2 linked regions of the Callithrix jacchus genome follow. Each later gene encodes a partner of the first gene's protein in a complex. Links are inferred from orthologs where the notes say so. Each region holds a gene or a part of one and is shown on either strand. Other genes may lie near its edges. The genes, in order: ITGAV and ITGB6.

The links.
Region 2: the proteins of ITGAV (region 1) and ITGB6 are in contact, whole or in part, in a crystal structure (PDB 9CZA), measured with the Homo sapiens proteins. The link is inferred for Callithrix jacchus from reciprocal best matches to the Homo sapiens genes ITGAV and ITGB6. Residues at the interface, in NP_002201.2 of Homo sapiens: Tyr48, Phe51, Lys72, Trp123, Leu141, His143, Gln150, Glu151, Arg152, Pro154, Asp178, Ala179, Phe184, Gln186, Phe189, Pro204, Tyr208, Trp209, Asp249, Tyr251, Tyr254, Pro274, Arg275, Arg278, Thr279, Met302, Ala303, Tyr305, Phe308, Pro328; in NP_000879.2 of Homo sapiens: Ser183, Pro184, Phe185, Lys187, Thr188, Thr189, Pro190, Ile236, Asp237, Thr238, Pro239, Asp273, Ser274, His275, Phe276, Gly277, Met278, Asp279, Lys281, Leu282, Ala283, Gly284, Val286, Pro288, Glu308, Thr311, Ile312, Gly313, Gln314, Ile316.

The regions. Positions count from the first base shown.
Region 1 is NC_133507.1:42,392,222-42,401,205, reverse strand, and holds the start of ITGAV (integrin alpha-V), read left to right. Parts: upstream 1-3,380; 5' UTR 3,381-3,683; coding exon 3,684-3,868; intron 3,869-8,984.
Region 2 is NC_133507.1:69,656,959-69,665,373, reverse strand, and holds part of ITGB6 (integrin beta-6), read right to left. Parts: exon of another isoform or gene 8,354-8,415; 5' UTR 8,339-8,353; coding exon 8,278-8,338; intron 7,536-8,277; coding exon 7,456-7,535; intron 5,390-7,455; coding exon 5,185-5,389; intron 4,614-5,184; coding exon 4,367-4,613; intron 1-4,366. UniProt on the Homo sapiens protein: Integrin alpha-V:beta-6 (ITGAV:ITGB6) is a receptor for fibronectin and cytotactin. It recognizes the sequence R-G-D in its ligands. Internalization of integrin alpha-V/beta-6 via clathrin-mediated endocytosis promotes carcinoma cell invasion.

The sequences.
Region 1 (8,984 bases):
ATAGACAGATACAAGGGGAACTAACAGGGAGTAATAATACTCATAAAAATTTACTACTGTTACCATGCTAAACTCTAGTTATAAAAGTATTAATACCAACAAGAACTGTTCAATTCTAAGAGACAGACAGTAGTATTATTTCCCTTTCACAGATAAGAAAACTGAGGCACAGACTGGTTGGATTGATTTGCCCAGGGTCGCACAACTAGTACTTGGCAAAGCCAGGAATGGAACCCAGGTACTTCATTTTACAGAAACCACTGGAATCAAGATTTTTACTAAAATATAGAGTAGTAGAGGATAAAATTCAGAGTCAAAATTATTTTTACTATCTAATATTTTCTAAGAAAAGGATTATATTCAATGGATACTTAATGTATACACAGAAGTTCTTGTTTTAAGTTGGAAGTCTGCTATAATGCAGTTTAAAGAGTAGTGTCATGGGGTGGGGGAGGGGTATCACCATTCTTGCATAGAATAAAACATTCTTTTCCCTCTCCCATGCACACAGTACCAGGTGCAATGTGAATTCTGAATCAGCACTGGCTGAATTGACATATTCGATAATACAATTTGAAGGCCACTGTGTGCGTGGCTGCTCAAGCATGGTCAGGCTTACAAAGAGATGCCAGCATTTATAACCCCAAGCTTCTGAAGGCACTGGGTTAGTCTGCTTCATAGTTTCCTAATTGAAATGTATATTTAATTTTTTTTTTTTTAGACAAAGTCTCACTCTGCCACTCAGGCTGGAGTGCAGTGGCCCACAATACCACAATACCTTGGTTCACTGCAGCCTCCACCTCCCAGGTTCAAGCAATTCTCCTGCCTCAGCCTCCTGAATAGAATGGGATTACAGGCACACACCACCACACCTGGCTAATTTTTGTATTTTTAGTAGAGATGGGGTTTCACCATGTTGGCCAGACTGGTCTTGAACTCCTGACTTCAGGTGATCCACCCAAGGACTCCCAAAGTACAGGGATTACAGGCACGAGTCACCCTGCCTGGCCTGTTGGCTTTTTTTTTTTTTTTTTTTTAACAAAAACAAAACAAATTCCTTGATTTTCAAGACTGCTCATTCGAAATAAACTCATAAGAAATGGCTCAATAATAAGTGCTTTTAGTAGCTGTTCGTAGTCCTATTGGGAGTGTACTGTTCACTCAAGTTTTGGTGGGACTACATGTACTGTCATTTCTTTGGCTTCTTCCTTTCCCTGGTCCTCTCACATTTCTTCACTCCACCCTGGTCTGTTGGACACGTGTCCTGGGATCAGAAGATGAGGAGTGGGAGACTTACTGGATCTATCTAGCCAGAGTTTAAACTCTTCTGTCTTCCTTTCCTGGATGGATTTCCAGGTAGACTGATTCTCATGTTTTAACATATAAAATACCCTTTGAGTTTATGCATACATATCTATAACCTCTTTGGTGTATTAGAAAAAAAGGCAAGAAATAAGGTGTATTTGGATTTATGTGTAAGGATTTGTGTAGGATTTCCTCTCTCAATCTAAAAGTACTTACTTTTAGAAAGATGCTGGATCATGCCTTGTAAAACATGCCAAAGGTTTTGCTGCATGTTTTTTAGTCAAATTTTAAAAAGGAAATATTTAATGTAACTTTTTTTTTTTTAGGCAGAGTCTTACTCTGTTGCCTGGGCTGGAGTGCAGTGGTGTTATCTCAGCTCACTGCAACCTCAGCCTCCTGGGTTCAAGCAATTGTCCTGCCTCCGCCTCCTGAGAAGCTGGGACTACAGGCACACGCCGCCACACCAGCCTCATTTTTTGTATTTTAGTAGAGATGGAGTTTCACTGTGCTGCCTAGGGTTGTCTTGAACTCCTGAGCTTAGGCAATCCGCCCACCTTGGCCTTCCAAAGTGCTAGGATTACAGGCATGAGCCACAGTGGTGGGCCTTTTTTTTTTTTTAAACACAAGGTCTTGTTCTGTCACTCAAGCTGGAGTGCAGTGACACACTCACGACTAACTGTAACCTGGAACTCCTGGCCCTAAGCGATCTAGCTGCCTTAGCCTCTGGCATAGCTAGGACTACAGGCATGCACCACACTCCCAGCTAGCTAATTTTAAATTTTTTTGTAAAGAAGAGGTCTCCATATGTTCCCCTGGAACTCCTGGCCTCAAGCAATCCTCCTGTCTCAGTCTCCCAAAGTGCTGAGATTACCACCATGAGCACCTGGGCCTGGTCCAATAAATACTGTAAATTCAAATTAGGCATTTCACTTCCATTTATATACATATCCCTTTATAGGATTATTTGATGGTTATTAATGTATATTGTCATTGAATTTTAATAGTTACTTTGGGAAAACAGAAATCACTGTTATAGTGCCTACTTGTAAGTTGTTAAGGTCCTCACAATGCACTTAATCTTATTCAACAGATTCTGTAGCACATGAAACACCTGAAATGTGGAAGAGTCACTTCTCTGTGCAGTTTGCTCATTTCATCTGGTATTCATTCATTGATTCAACATTTTATTGATGGATTACTATTTGCATGGCAAGGTGCTAGAAAATAGGAATACTAAGAAAAAGTCGACGTTCCTGTCCTGAAGGCCCTCTCTCAGTACAGTGTTGTCAAGGCTTGGTGGAATACACCAGTGGCAAACAAGCACAAGCGGCCTTATTTCACTGGTGTGCATTACTTCTTCCAGCCCTGAAATCAAGTCTATCCAAACGTCCTAAATCAACAAATGTTTTTTCGAAATCATACAACTGTAGCTAACAAACTAGGAGTAAGGCTTCGGTTATTCTGACTTGATTTTAAACCATCATTGCCCATTCTTTGCCCTGCCAATCCTTTCTTTGACTACTGAAGTTAAGCTTTACACATCTCACTTGCAAGAGGCTATGCTGCTATTCTGGAAATCTGAAATTAAGTTCAGTGTTTGTGTGTGGGGTGGAGTGTAATTAACGACCATTGATTACAGAGTTTCCTTCGTGAGAGCCTGCCAGGCTAAGCAGCAGAAACACGAGAAGCGGATAAAAAGTTTTCCTCATTTTTCAACAAAAGTCGCACGGGAGTTTCCGGCGGGACAAGGGCACGTGGCCGGCTCTTGCTACTCCCGTGAACGCGGCTGGATTGGGACGCTGGATCGTGACACCCCTCCCCCCGCCCCCCGGTCCCCAGTCTGAGGCCTTCGTCCAGAAGCTGAGCCGCTGACCCAGGCTCAGGAGCTGGGAGCCCCGGCACAAGCTCCCGGGCCTCGGGACAGGCGGGGACCGCACGCACGGAAGGGCGCTGGGCTCTCTCGGGTGGAAGGCGCCTCTGCTTCCCCACTTCCTCCTCCAGCTCCGCGGCACCGCCTCCCGGGCGGCTCCTCCTCCTTCCAGTCTCCTCCCTGTCCCGCCGCGGCTCCCGGGCCCGAGGTGCGGCGCTCCCTCGGCAGTCCCCAGCCTCGGACGCTGCGTGGAGCGGCGGAGGGGAGAGAAGCGAGGGGCCGCCTGCGCTGCTGTCCCTGCCCCGTGCGCTCTGCGCCCCTCTTCCCTGTCGGTCGCTCCGAGGCTCAGACCTCCTGCCTCGCTCGGCGCGGTCCGGGGCTCGCCGAGAAGAGAGCGGCTGGCAAGTTTGGGCGCGCGCAGGCGGCGGGCCGTGGGCACCGGGCGCTTCGGTGGGGCGCGGGGAGGTGACCGCCGCTCCGGGCTCGGCGTCCCGCGCGCACTTCGGCGATGGCTTCGCCGCCGCGGCGACGGCTGCGCCTCGGTCCCCGCGGCCTCCTGCGTCTCCTCTCGGGACTCCTGCTACCTCTTTGCCGCGCCTTCAACCTAGATGTGGACAGTCCTGCGGAGTACTACGGCCCCGAGGGAAGCTACTTCGGCTTCGCGGTGGATTTCTTCGCGCCCAGCGCGTCTTCGTAAGTGGCCGCACTTGGAGCCGGAGCCGGCCCCCTCCCCCACCGCTTGCACCCACCCCGCTTTTCTCCCCTGGGATTGATTTCGGAGAGATCCCGGGGTCTATCCTACCTATCCAACCCCCTCAGAGTGGTTTATGTCCTGGGTGAAGGAAATATTTGGGAAGATGAACTCCCCTCGGTACCCATCACCTAGTTACACCCCACTCCTCACCTCTTAAAAGTGATTAGGGGCAGCGGGAAAGTTTTAAAGCGGACCTGTGCTCAAAATTCAGAGAAAGTGGGAAATCAACAAAGGCTGGTCTTGCCGGACTCCCCGCCTCCTGTGCCATTGTCGAGGATTTGCAGTGAGGCTCTTGGTAGCTTTTTTCTGCTTCTCAGACTTAACGCCGGTCCTTTTCATTCTCCCTCAGCAAGCCCTCCCCCACTCTTTCTGCCTCTGTCTGAGTTTGTTTCTTCTCACTCCTTTTGCAAACATTCTGATGACTTAAAATTACCATATTGCCCCACGGAATTCATTGTGTCTTATCTCTGGGACTGTCAAACATTTGCACATTTGAGGTTGAACAGATGAATTAAATGTGTCATCTGTTCTTTTTATAGTGATTCACTATTTAGGTCATTGTTCAGACGGAACAAGGGTGTTTGCTGAGTTTTCACTCACTGCAGGTCATTAGAATACTGCAACATTTAATAATTCAGTTATGTTTTCAATTTGCCAACGTTCCGCGTTGCAGGGACCTTCAGATTTGTGGCAGTTATTGTCATTATTGTCACTGTCTCCGACTTTACTGAATGCTGACGTCATTACCACCATTCCACCCCCATATTAGCATAAGGAATACTGTTTTAATGAGTGTTCACTGGTTGTTTTATGATGTTTAAATCTTATTTTCAAAAGAGAAACTGTTCTTAAGGTGGCATCTAAATGCTTAGAAATTGTAACAACACATTTTTGTTTCCATATTTGCTGTATAAGATATCCCTTCGGGGTGAGGTGGAGGGTAATCTTGACGGTTAGTACTTGGATAGGACCATTTTCCACTACATACATGCCTAATTTGAGGATGGTCTCGTTTTTCTGTGACTGTTAGAACAGCAGAATTTAGCCTTAGTGTTTTTCTGAATGTTGCTGAGTATCATTCATTTTGATAACAACCTTTGCAGCAACGCATAGATTGGATGCAGTGAATGGAAACTTTGTTAGTGGAGACATTATTTTATGTAGCAGGCTTAGTTTTCATTTGTTGTCAGCAGTTAGAGTGCTTTCTGTGAGACCTGGGACACAGATTTTCCAAAATGATAAAAATAATCATTAACTTTGGCAACATTTACCGATTTCACATTCCATTTAGTCATTTTAGTCCGCGTTACCTTTTTATTTGTTACTGTTTTTAACCACGGGGCAAATACCAAACATTATCTTTAAACATTTTTGTTTCCAGATGCTTTCAAGTGTATACCTTTATGATACAGAACATTTTAGTTGCTCCCAAGGGTTCAATTTTAGATTTAATTTGTACAGAAATTCTAATGATTTTGAAAATATATGTCTTTTGTCAAAGATTAGCATTTAAATACTTCAGGCCAGAGGCAGTGGCTCATGCCTATAATCCCAGCTCTTTGGGAGGCCAGGGCAGGTGGATTGCCTGAGCTCAGGAGTTTGAGACCAACCTGGGCCACACGGTGAAATCCCATCACTACAAAGAAATACAAAAATTAGTTGGGTGTGGTGGTGCACACCTATAATCCCAGCTCTTCGGGAGGCTGACATGGGGAATTGCTTGGAAGGTGGAGGTTTCAATGAGTGGAGACTGTGCCACTACACTCTGGCCTGGGTGACAGAGAGAGAACTCTGTCTCAGAAACAAAACAAAAACAAAAAACAAAATAACAAAAAACTTTAAAGTTGATGCAGTGTTTTACAAATGTTACTGTTAATTCTTCAGCAATACTCTGAGTTTAGTGTAAGATGAAGAGAAGCTGATAAACTTTAAGTGGGTTTTCTTAATGGAAAATGCAGTAATGTTGAACTATTTATATTTGTTATTTCTGATTACAAGCCAGGGTGACTACTTTGGCCAGTCATTACAATCAGTGAATATGTTATGACCTCACAGGTTTCCATGACTTCACTCATAGACCTTAAGTGGTAAGGTAAAATTGAACTTGGGTTTGATTTCATATCATATTTTGAAATATTCATCAGCAACTTTGTTACTGATAGACTAGAGAGCTCTAGGTATAGGTAAGTTAAACAGTGGAAACCAATCTTGAGTTTTGTTGTTGTTGTTGTTTTAAAGTATATAAACAAATGTTTTTACTTACTGAGCTTTTCAGATTTAACAAAGATTTATGTAAAATTACGCTGAATTTTCTAAAAGGGCAAATGTTTTTTTTACTTACTGAGCTTTTCAGATTTAACAAAGATTTATGTAAAATTACGCTGAATTTTCTAAAAGGGCAAATGTTTTTACTTACTCAGCTTTTCAGATTTAACAAAGATTTATGTAAAATTACGCTGAATTTTCTAAAAGGGCACTTTATATTTAACAAGCATTGGAATCCAAGGTACATGGGATGCCATTTCCAATATGAATTTATTGTTATTTGGTATTATCATAAACTTCCAAAAGAAAAAAAGCCACATAATGAAAAAGTATTTGTCAATTAAAGGGCACCTTTCTTTCTTTCTTTTCTTTCTTTTTTGAGACAGAGTTTCGCTCTTGTTACCCAGGCTAGAGTGCAATGGCGCCATCTCAGCTCACCACAACCTCCACCTCCTGGGTTCAGGCAATTCTCCTGCCTCAGCCTCCTGTCTTTTTTTTTTTTTTTTTGAGTTGGAGCTTCACTCTTGTTTCCCAGGCTGGAGTGTAATGGCACGATCTTGGCTCACCGCAACCTCCACCTCCTGGGTTCAAGCAATTCTCCTGCCTCAGCCTCCCCAGTAGCTGGGACTACAGGTGCGCAAAGGGTGCCTTTCTTCTAAGGGGAGAAGATTTGTGAGGAGGCAATGGTTACTACGTCCACTTCTGTTGCCTTTTCCAGTTTCAGTGTCCGCATTCCTTGAAGAAGCTGTAGAATTATTTTATGACCATTTTTTTCTTTATAGAAAATTATTATTGAATTATTTTCATAGTTTTGTTGTAAAAATTATTTATGAAAGAGAAGGACAAATAAAGTTCTAAGTAAAATGTTAAGGTTGCCCCTGAAAAAAATCGCTCCAGAAATGAGTCAGGTTTGAAGTCAAAATTCGCAAAAACAGTGATTTTCAAAATTATGAAAAATAAAACATTCACATTCTTTTTTTCTGTAAGCGTTTATTTATACTACGTTGTAACACTTACATGAAATCCAAAGGTTGGATGCGGGCCAGTAATGAACGTCATACTTTTTTTGTGGAAACTAATTGGAAAAATTAAAAATTGCATCCTAGGTTTAATTATAGTGACATCTTATTTTAGTAAGCATTTTATAATTCGCTAAGCACTTATATCTCATTTTATACTATAGCCAAAACCATCAGGGTGAGTAACGGGAAGCAGATATACTCATTCTTACAGATGAGGAAATAGAGGCGGAAGAGTTTGCAGTCTAGTTATTTGAGTAGGTTGGTGTGAGTAGAGGGTAAGGAAGGGAGGGCTCAGAAGGCCAGGGTGTGAAATCCAATACCACTTTTTTTTATTCAAATATTGAAATTTTGAACAAAATAACTTTAAAAATTTATTCTTCAAGTATATGTTATACAGTTCTCATTTTATTTATTTGTTTTAAAATAATACTAAAATGAATAGTACTGGATTCTTGCCTCCTCTGCCCCCATTAAACACTAATGGAGCCTTATCTTACAGTTGACAACTTTTGTAGAGGTGTGTGCCTTAGAAGCAGAAGATCCTTCAGTGGATCTCATTCCTAACTTCATGGTTGCAATACCTGGAAAGTCTTTTAAATAAAACTCCTGCCCTGGCTGTATCTTAAATCTAAAAGTAGATCGCTGACTTGATATTCCAGTGGTCTAGCCTGTGAATCATTTCTCGTTGACTAGCCTGTCTTAATTCAATTTGACTGCAAATGAACTCTTCACTAAAATATGTCAGTTGCACCTCTGTTTCTGTTAATGGAGGCATCCTTTTCTCTGTTACCCTGGAAATAATTTCATTTTCCTCCTCTCATTTTCTATTTTTCTGTACCTTTCCTACTTTGTCACTTTGATATCAGTCAGTGATTAGTCAGCAGGCAGAAGATCCTAGAAATTCTTCCTTTGTAAGATTTCTTGATTCCATGTCTGCTTTCTACTCCTCATTTCAGTATAGGTATGACAAGCATGGTCAGTGGCACTCAGGGCTCCCCCCATCCCTTTGCCCATCATTTGGCTAACCTGCAAAACATCTTATTTGTTTCTACTTGTTTTATCTTTCTGTAACACCCCTTTTCATCCTGGTATTCTGTTGCAAAAATTTTCATAACAATGCTTCCATTGCTAGAGAGAAGGTCCTAACTGCTTAACCTGGATTAAGGTCACTTGCAATCTGTCCCAACCTGTGTGTGTTTTTAAAACTTCATGTTCTGTTTCTCCTCTTACCATTTTAACTGTTTTCACAACACTTTACAAAATGATGCCAGCTCGTTTTTATAAACTTTAGAGTAGTTCTGGTTATACTGGTTGATTTTTCTCATCATAAATAAGATACATATATAATAGGGGACAGAAATTTGTCTATAATTTTATTATTTAGAAAGCAAATCCAATATTGATTACTTCCATTAAGGACTATATGTGTTTCATAGAGCATTATGAAAGACAAGGGAAAATGTATGAAAATTGTAGTTACTGCTTCTGCTTTATATCATGTAGTTGTTAACTGGCATTTTTATATTTTTCTTTTGATTCAAAGGAGAATTTTTTTAAAAAAATGAAAAGTAAATCTGAAACTGGAATTGTAGCCTTGGAATAACATTCAGTACTATTTCATACACATTTATTTCTATATACATGTGTGATAGTTCTTCACAAGTTCCTTTTGGTGAAGGCTCATTGGTCAACTCAAAGTCAGCTAAATATATTAAACATAATTTATCTTAGAAAGGTCAGTGCTGAAAGCAGCCAAACAACTTAGTTT
Region 2 (8,415 bases), about 27 Mb from region 1:
GGGGCAGAGGTGGCACTTTGTAATTCTAGATGAAATTACCCTACTAAACTCTCTATGGAAGCTTATTGTAGGGGAAAGACACACAGTATACCAAAGAACTAAATACAAAGTGTATTTAGGTAGAATATTCTCTGATTTTATAAAGGGGACCAAAAGCATTAGCAATGCTTTTATGATAGGTATTTAAGAGGTTGTTAGCACCAATAACAATAATAACAATAATAATACCTTACTTTTTATTCTATAGCATTTTTGAGGGCACAGGTCTTTATAACTCTGAATAGAAATCTATGTATTCAGCATTGCAGGAACTGATCTTAGATGCCACCTTATTCTGTCTTCCCTCATGACAAAATGCTGATTTTGGAGGGGCAGGTGCTTCCTTTGTAGTTAACTGGTCATGTAACTAAGTGCCAGCCAATTGGATGCAAGTCTAAGGTATTGAGTAAAATTTGTGGCAAAACCCCTTAAGTTGGGAAATAAAATTTAACAACCGTTTATAATTTTTAAAAAAACCTACCAAGCAAGGAATAGAAGATAATTTTTTTGATCTGATGAAAGGAAATAAAAAACCACTAGCTAACAACATATGGTGAAACACTGATCCTTTCTCCCTAACATCATGAAGATGACTAGGTTGTCCTCTCCTACTACATTTATTTAAAAGAGTACTAGACACCCAAGCCAGTGCAATAAGGTCAGAAATAATAAAGAGGAAGCATAGACGTTGGAGAAAAAGAAGTTGTTATTCACAGATGACATGATCATATACACAGAAAATTCTAAGGAATCTATAAAAATCACACTAGAACTAAAGAGAAAATTAATATAAAGTTTGAAGGATACAAAGTGAGTATGTAAAATCAATTGTATTTCTACATGTTATCCAAAAGGAATTTGAAAATAAAAAATTTTAAATGTCCCTAGAAATAAGTAAAACAAAACATATGCAAGATATCTACCCTGAAAATGATAGAACTTTGTGCTGAGACATTAAACAAGATCTGAATGAACGAAGATATATGTCATGTAAAATGACTGGAAAATTCAATACGTGTCAGATGTTTAATATCCCCACAAATTGATCAATGGTTTCAATGTTGTCTCAATAAAAATCTCGGCATATTTTTTTGAAGAAATTGACAAGTTGATTCTAAAATTTATATGGAAATGTCAAGGATCTAGGATAAACAAAATGAAAGGACAAAGTTGGAGGACTTATGCTCCTGATTTCAAGACTGTCTATAAAGCTACAGTAAGGGAGGTAGTGGGGCATTAGTGGTCACATGGTTATATTCAATGGATCAATGAAACAGAATAGTGTCCAGAATTAGACTCACACATATGGTCAATTGCTTGTCAACAAAGACATTAAGATAACTCAATGTGGAAAGGAAAATCTTGTCTAACAAATAGTGCTTGAACAACTAGATATCTCTATGGAAACAAAAAAATCAACCTAGACATTTTTTTCTCATTCCAAATACAAAAACTAATTTGAGATCAGAAGCCTAAATGTAATCACATTAACCACAAAGCTTCTAGAAGAAAATATAGGTGGAGTCTTTGTGACCTTTACAGTAAGCAAAAATTTAATAGAACATAAAAAAACACTATAAAATTAAAAATTAATAAGTTGGACTTCATCAAAATTAAAAACTTTTGCTTGACCAAAGGCATTATAGAAAAATTAAAATACAAGCCGTAAAGTGGGAGATAATATTTTTGACAAATACATATATGTATATTTTTGGCAAAATGTATTTGACAAAAAACTTGTATCCAGCATATATAAAGTACTCTTAATGCACAATGTTGGAAAGATAGTCTAATCTTAGATTTCAAACGAAGCTTCACAAACTAAATAGGAATGGCAAATAAACACAGGAAAAGGTGCTCGACATCATTCATCATTAAGGAGATGCAAATTAAAGCTACAATGAGATACTACTGCACACCTATTAGAACGTCTAAAATTAAAAAAACTGACAACATCAAGTGTCAGTAAGGATGAAGAATATCTGGAACCTTGTCATACTGCTGATGGAAATGCAAAATGTACATTCGCTTTGGAAAACAATTTGGTAGTTTCTTTAAAAATTATACAGTTCAGCAATTCCAGTTTAGGTGTCTATTGTGAAGAGAAGTAAAAGCATACATCCATTCAAAGACTTCAGTGCAAGTGCTCACAGCAGCCTTTTCATAATAGCCCCCTAAAATAGAAACAACTCAAATGTTCTCCAATGAAAGAATGAGTAAACAAAATATAGTAAATAAATACAATGGATTGTTAACTGAAACGAAAAGAAGCAAACTCCTGATACATACAAAGTCATAGGTAAATCTTGAAAACATTATGTTGAACCAAAGAAGCCAAACACAGAGGGCATATACTACATTACATATTTATATAAAATTCAGGAATAGGTAAAACCAATATAAATTATCGACTTCGGAAAGCGGTTGCCTTTGAAGTGGTAGAACTGACTGTAATGGGAAATTTCTGAGGTGATGAAAATATTCTGCATCATGTTTTGGATACTGATTGCAATGGTATATTTAACCATCAAAACACATCAAACTAAACATTTTCCATCTGTGCATTTTAGGCATGTCAACTATACGTCACAAGGAATTGTGAGGAGTAGGCAGACAGTGTACTTATTGCCCCTATTTTCCTCCTTTCCTCCTGACTGAAATGAAGAAGTGATGATTAGTACCCCAGCACCATTCTTGGACCATGAAGATAAAATCCAAGTGTCAATAATGGTGAAACAGAGAGCAGAAAAAGGCCTGGATTCCTCATGTTTTTGAATCTGCCATACATCCCTGAATGGCCTTCCTCTGGTCCTTATATAAAAAAACAGAAGAAAATATTGGCTGGGCATAGTGGCTCATGCCTGTAATCCCAGCACTTTGGGAAGCTGAGGCAGGTGGATCACTTGAGGTCAGGAGTTTGAGAACAGCCTGGCCAACATAGTGAAACCCAGTCACTACTAAGACTACAAAAAATTAGCCGGGTGTGGTGGCAGGCGCCTGTAATCTCAGTTACTCAGGAGGCTGATGCAGAAAAATTGCTTGAACCCAGGAGGCAGAAATTGCAGTGAGCTGAGATCATGCCACTGCACTCCAGCCTGGGTGACAGAGTAAAACTCCATCTCAAAAACAAACAAACAAACAAACAAACAAACAAACAAACAAAAAACCTCCCTTTTTAAGCCACCATCACAGATATTTAAAACCAAACACAATTTTTAAGTGTTACAATCATTGAAAAGTTCCTTTTATGGTTAAATTATTTTTGATTATGTTAGATTGTAGTTGGGGGCTACATTGAGATTTTTTTAAATGGTATAATAAAAGCTATTTATCTTTTATAGAGATTGATGCTTTTGGTGTATAAAAGTATTATGTCAATAAACATTTGGAAAATTATTTCATATATATTAGATGTATAGTAGTAATGGGCTTGCTTTTGGGACAAATCGAATATGGGTACAGATCATGGGTTTGTCATGTGGCCTTGGGCAAATAGCTAACCTCTCAGAGCCTCTTATTTCTTCTGAGTATAGAGCTGGTGTTATTAAGCTTTAACCTGCTGTTATGAAGACTGAATGAGGTCATGTGTGTAAAACCTTCAGCACAAGGTCTGGCACAGAGCATATAGTAGCTCTTTTTCAATAGGAGAATATTAAATAGTTTGTTTCTGAACATGTCATTCACTTAACAGGTAAGCCATCACAAAGCAATTTGTCCTCCACCATCACCTGAATAATATGTGGTTTTAATAGCTTATTATAACATATTAGAATGGAGTCATTGCCTATGAAATCATTTACTACTGAATTTAATAGCTATGAAGGCTGCCCAGGCCTTCTCCAAGCAATAGGAGAAACAAATATTTCCCAAAGTACATCAGAGAAAGTTGCAAAAATTATTATTTTGCCAGAAGTCATTGTTGTGGAGAAACATTCTGGGAAAGTGAAGTTATTCTCCAATAACCTCAGAAAGTGGTGGCCACTGAGACTAGAAAGTGTGTGAAAGACTGGGCGAGGTGCCATCCAGCGGAGCCTATGGTGAAAGCCTTGGTCCCCTTGTCTGCATAACACACATTCTGGTTTGCTACAACCTGCCCTACACTGGAAGGCAGATGCAGAGGCTGCAAGAAGCCATGGCTAGAACCATGTAGTTCAGATGACCTCACCTCCACTCCAAGCAACCTAGGCACTGGAGAGAACTGCTGAGATCCAACCAGATGAAGCAGAAATGCCAGGGAGTTAGCAAGCTCCTGGCAAGTGCAGCTCAGAGCCGGGGTATCTCCACAAAAAATCAGTGCACGAAGATGCCAAGGGAATCATTTGCTTACCTGCAAGGGTTGGCAATTTCTTCTGGTGTTGTTTTCACAAAAGGGGATACAGGTTTTTCAACAAATGATCCGAAGCCCAGTCTAAAGTTGCTGGTTAATTTAGACATCTCCTTGGAAAGCCGGGATCCCAGCTCCTTGATTGTGTGGAGGTCATCATCCATGGAGGCGGAGAGGTCCATGAGGTAATACAAATCCACCGGATAGTCCTCGGTCTGGCGGACATGCACTTGCAGAGTCTGTGCACCACCTGCAAAGACCAATGGGAAAAGCAAACCCAGAAAAACACACTGAGATTCATTTGCAACTGGCCAGTTGCTGGGTCAGCTGGCTATTACACCTCAGTAAGAACTTACTGAAAGTCAAGGTCCTAAATGAACCAACCCATAAAAATTTTTCAGCAGGGAGTTTAGAACTACTGGAGGATAAGTTAGGATATTTTATATCTCCTTGGGAGAACTAGCATCCATTTAGATAGAAGATAAGCTGAATTTTTTGTGCTTCGTTTTAGAAAAGAGGCATCTAATAAAAGAGAGTTTAAATCTACATTACAACCCTTGAAGAGATGTGAGGTAAGCCTTAACAACATTTGAGTAATTTAAATGGTTACTATTAGAGAAGGCTTCTTTAGTAACACATTTGGAGTGCCAGGGACCAATGTGAATAAAGAAAAGTGTGAGCCTAGCAATTTTCTATTTCCTTAAGAATGGGAAATTCGAGGCATAATAATCAATGTAATACAATACAAGACACATTAGTGGAGTAGAAGAATTGCCATATATGACATCAGATCTATTTACATGAGCCAAATCCTAACATACCTGGTCTCAACTTCAGGATCAAGCTTTGAGGTGCAATCTGAACAATGTCAGAACTATTTTTCTGTGTGCCTACACTGAGAGGCTTATTTTTAAGTATTTCTACTTGTGAGACAGGGTTTTCGATGAAGTTTAATTGACATCCTTTAGCTAATAGGTTTGCTGGGGTATCACACCTTTCGCCAACTCCAGATGAGTGGGTAAAATTCTAAAAAAGAAAAAAGAAAATCAATAACTAGAAAAAGAAAACAAATCTGAATTTCTTATAAGATACCAGCAATTGAAAGTTTTTTATTATACATAGAAAGGAACAACCAGTATTAACCTTTCTAAAAATATACCAAAAAGTAAACAGCATCAACATAAAGAAGAATTTACATCAACGAATGGATAAAATAGCCAGTTAACATCAAATGGCAGTAACCCTAAATTTAAGTCGACTAAATCCCCCAATCAAAAGATACAGCCAAAACCTAACGGTATGCTACATCCAGACCCATTTCACATCCAAAGATACACAAAGACCTAAAACAAAGGGTTGGAGAAAGATCTACTAACCAAACGGAGAGCAAAAATAAATAAATAAATAAAAAGCAGGAGTTGCAATTCTTGCAGCTGATAAAATAGATTTCAAAGCAACAAAGATATAGTGGTAAAAGGATCAATGCAACAATAAGAGCTAACGATCCTAACACCCAGATACATAAGACTCATAAAGAGATTTAGACTCAATGAGATAGAAAATTAATAAGGATATCCAGGACTTGAACTCAGATCTGGAACAAGTAAACTCAATAAATATTTATAGAGCTCTCCATTTTAAATACACAAAATATACATTCTTCACCTTAAATACACAAAATATTCATCAGTCATTATTAATACCCATTTTTAGAATAAACCTACATTCCCGTTCTCTCTCCCTCTTTTTCTTCCTCTTTCTTCCTCTCCTTCACTCCTTTTTTTTCTTTCTTTCAAAAAAAAAAAAGTTTTTCTGCATATTTTGCTAGTTAAGCATCTTGCCATGTTGTATCCCTACATGACTAACATTGATTATATGTCTAACGTTAAGTTATAGGTGAATAACCAGAGAATTCTGCCAGTAAAATTCTGAGTAAAACTGGCATCTCCTTTTAATTATATTCAATAGAATTCACGTAACAGTCGCGTGTGTGCGTGCGTGCGCACGCGTGGCTTAAGCTCACTTCTTTAAAGCTTCTTCCCAGGCCACGACCAGTTCCTTGAAAGAGTGAGGTTCGTAGATTTTCCTTGTATATTTTCAATCCTGTTTTGATACAGGAACTCGAAAAAAGCATAATTCTCTTGGACTTTTGTTTGTGGCTGCATCGGTCAAGGCCGTGTTAGGGGAGTGAGCTGCGTTTGTGCTCTCTTGTCTGTGAGGCCACCCTTCATGGATAGACACTGAACTCGGAATTTGGGTTTCTACAGGTAGAGCCCAGTTCTGAGTTTGGTGTCGAGGTTTGTTTCTCTTTGAGCATGCTACTAAGCTCTCGCTGAACTTGGCATTCTAAACAATTTATGTTTAGATTATCTTTATGAGATCCAGTGGGTAGAGACTTGTTTTAAAATTCGGAGAGCTAATGCCTTTCTCACCATGAATCAATTAGACATCGCTCTCTAGTGTCTTAGGATGGCTTACTACATAGTCCCCAATCATCTTCATACTGCTTTCACATAGTTTTCTGTTTGACCAGATAAGGAGTGCCTATTTGGGACTTTTTCACTGGTGTGGTACAGAGTCACTGAATTTATGAAAATTTAATTTTTAAAAGATCTGGATAATGTCTGACCAGTAATATTTGCCTCAAACCTAGAACACATGCCTTAGAAGCTAGTAGTAGTTCAGAATGGATCCTGGTACCAGATGGAATACAACTAGAATATGAACATCAAATGTATGTTTAACTTTAGAAAATATCTCCTTGGTCTCTGATTATCCAGACAGCCTCCATATTTTACATGTAACCGGTTAGAAATGGCTTTACAATAAAAGAAGGAACCAGGTAAAATTAAAAATACCAAGTTAAGTATTTTCTCAGAATAATTTGACATCCACTCCTTCCATAAATTGTTTTTGAAAGTAATCACATGAATGCCATTTTGAGCCACCATTGCTCACCTTCTCCTTTCCCGATTTGTTTTACTCATGCAATTCCACAAAAAGCAAGACACAATCAGAACTATTGCTGAAGAAATTAACATGACTGTAACTGCAGACAAGTTTTAAAAACACGTTGAGGTCATTCGTTTTACCTCCTGAGCACACCAGGCACACTGAGGTCCAATGAGCAGGCAGTCTTCACAGGTTTCTGCACCTCCCAGGGCACAGCCACCTAGGTTTAGACCCAGCAAGATGCAGAAATTAAGTACACTTTCAGTCATTCCATTTGTCAGACTGATGGCTCTTACATTACTTGAACAAAACAACATCAAAGGTAATTTTAGTATGCAAGATCATTCCTCGAAACGTTAGCAAGTCACATAAAACTTTGTATTTTACATCTATCACATGTAAAATATGTGTACATATATTAAAAAGTATGTATGTCTTTCAAACCAAAATTACCATTCTCTTTTTTCTTAAAATGTGGAAGTTCACAAATATAGGATTATCCTATTTATTATTAGCCAATATTTGCCACTTTAATTTTTAAAAATTACTTGCATCCATTAAAAAATGCTTCTCTCTTAAATTAGGCATTTCTGTTTTTGAAATAAGTCCTCCTTTTTCTCTTTCAAGATTATTACTCTTAAGTGGAAGATCTTGTGGTAGAATAAAATAGAAAAGTTTCAAAAATGGTTATTACAATGGCACGAAATTCTATAGGGCAGTAATGCTATTTAATTATCCTCTTTAAAATGCCTGTGCAACCTTTGTATTTATTTACCTTAAGCCTACAGCATTCGCTATGGAACTGCGTGGTGTTTGCCTGTAATTGTTAAAGTGTTCACTCAGTGACAAAAGAGCAATGGAACAGATCAAATAAAAAATGACTTCAGATCTACTTTCTGAACCAAATGACAGGTTTGTCAAGCATACCATGAAAGCAGTATATCGGAGAACACTGGTCTTACCTTGTACGTGATCATTCCTTCCTAGAAATAGAAAGAACAGGCAAAGCAGTTCAATCCCCATTCGTTTCAGTTCTTGCTGTGCAGACCGATTAAAAAATGAATTACCTTCAGCGTTTCAAGACCAAAGCTGAATATTGT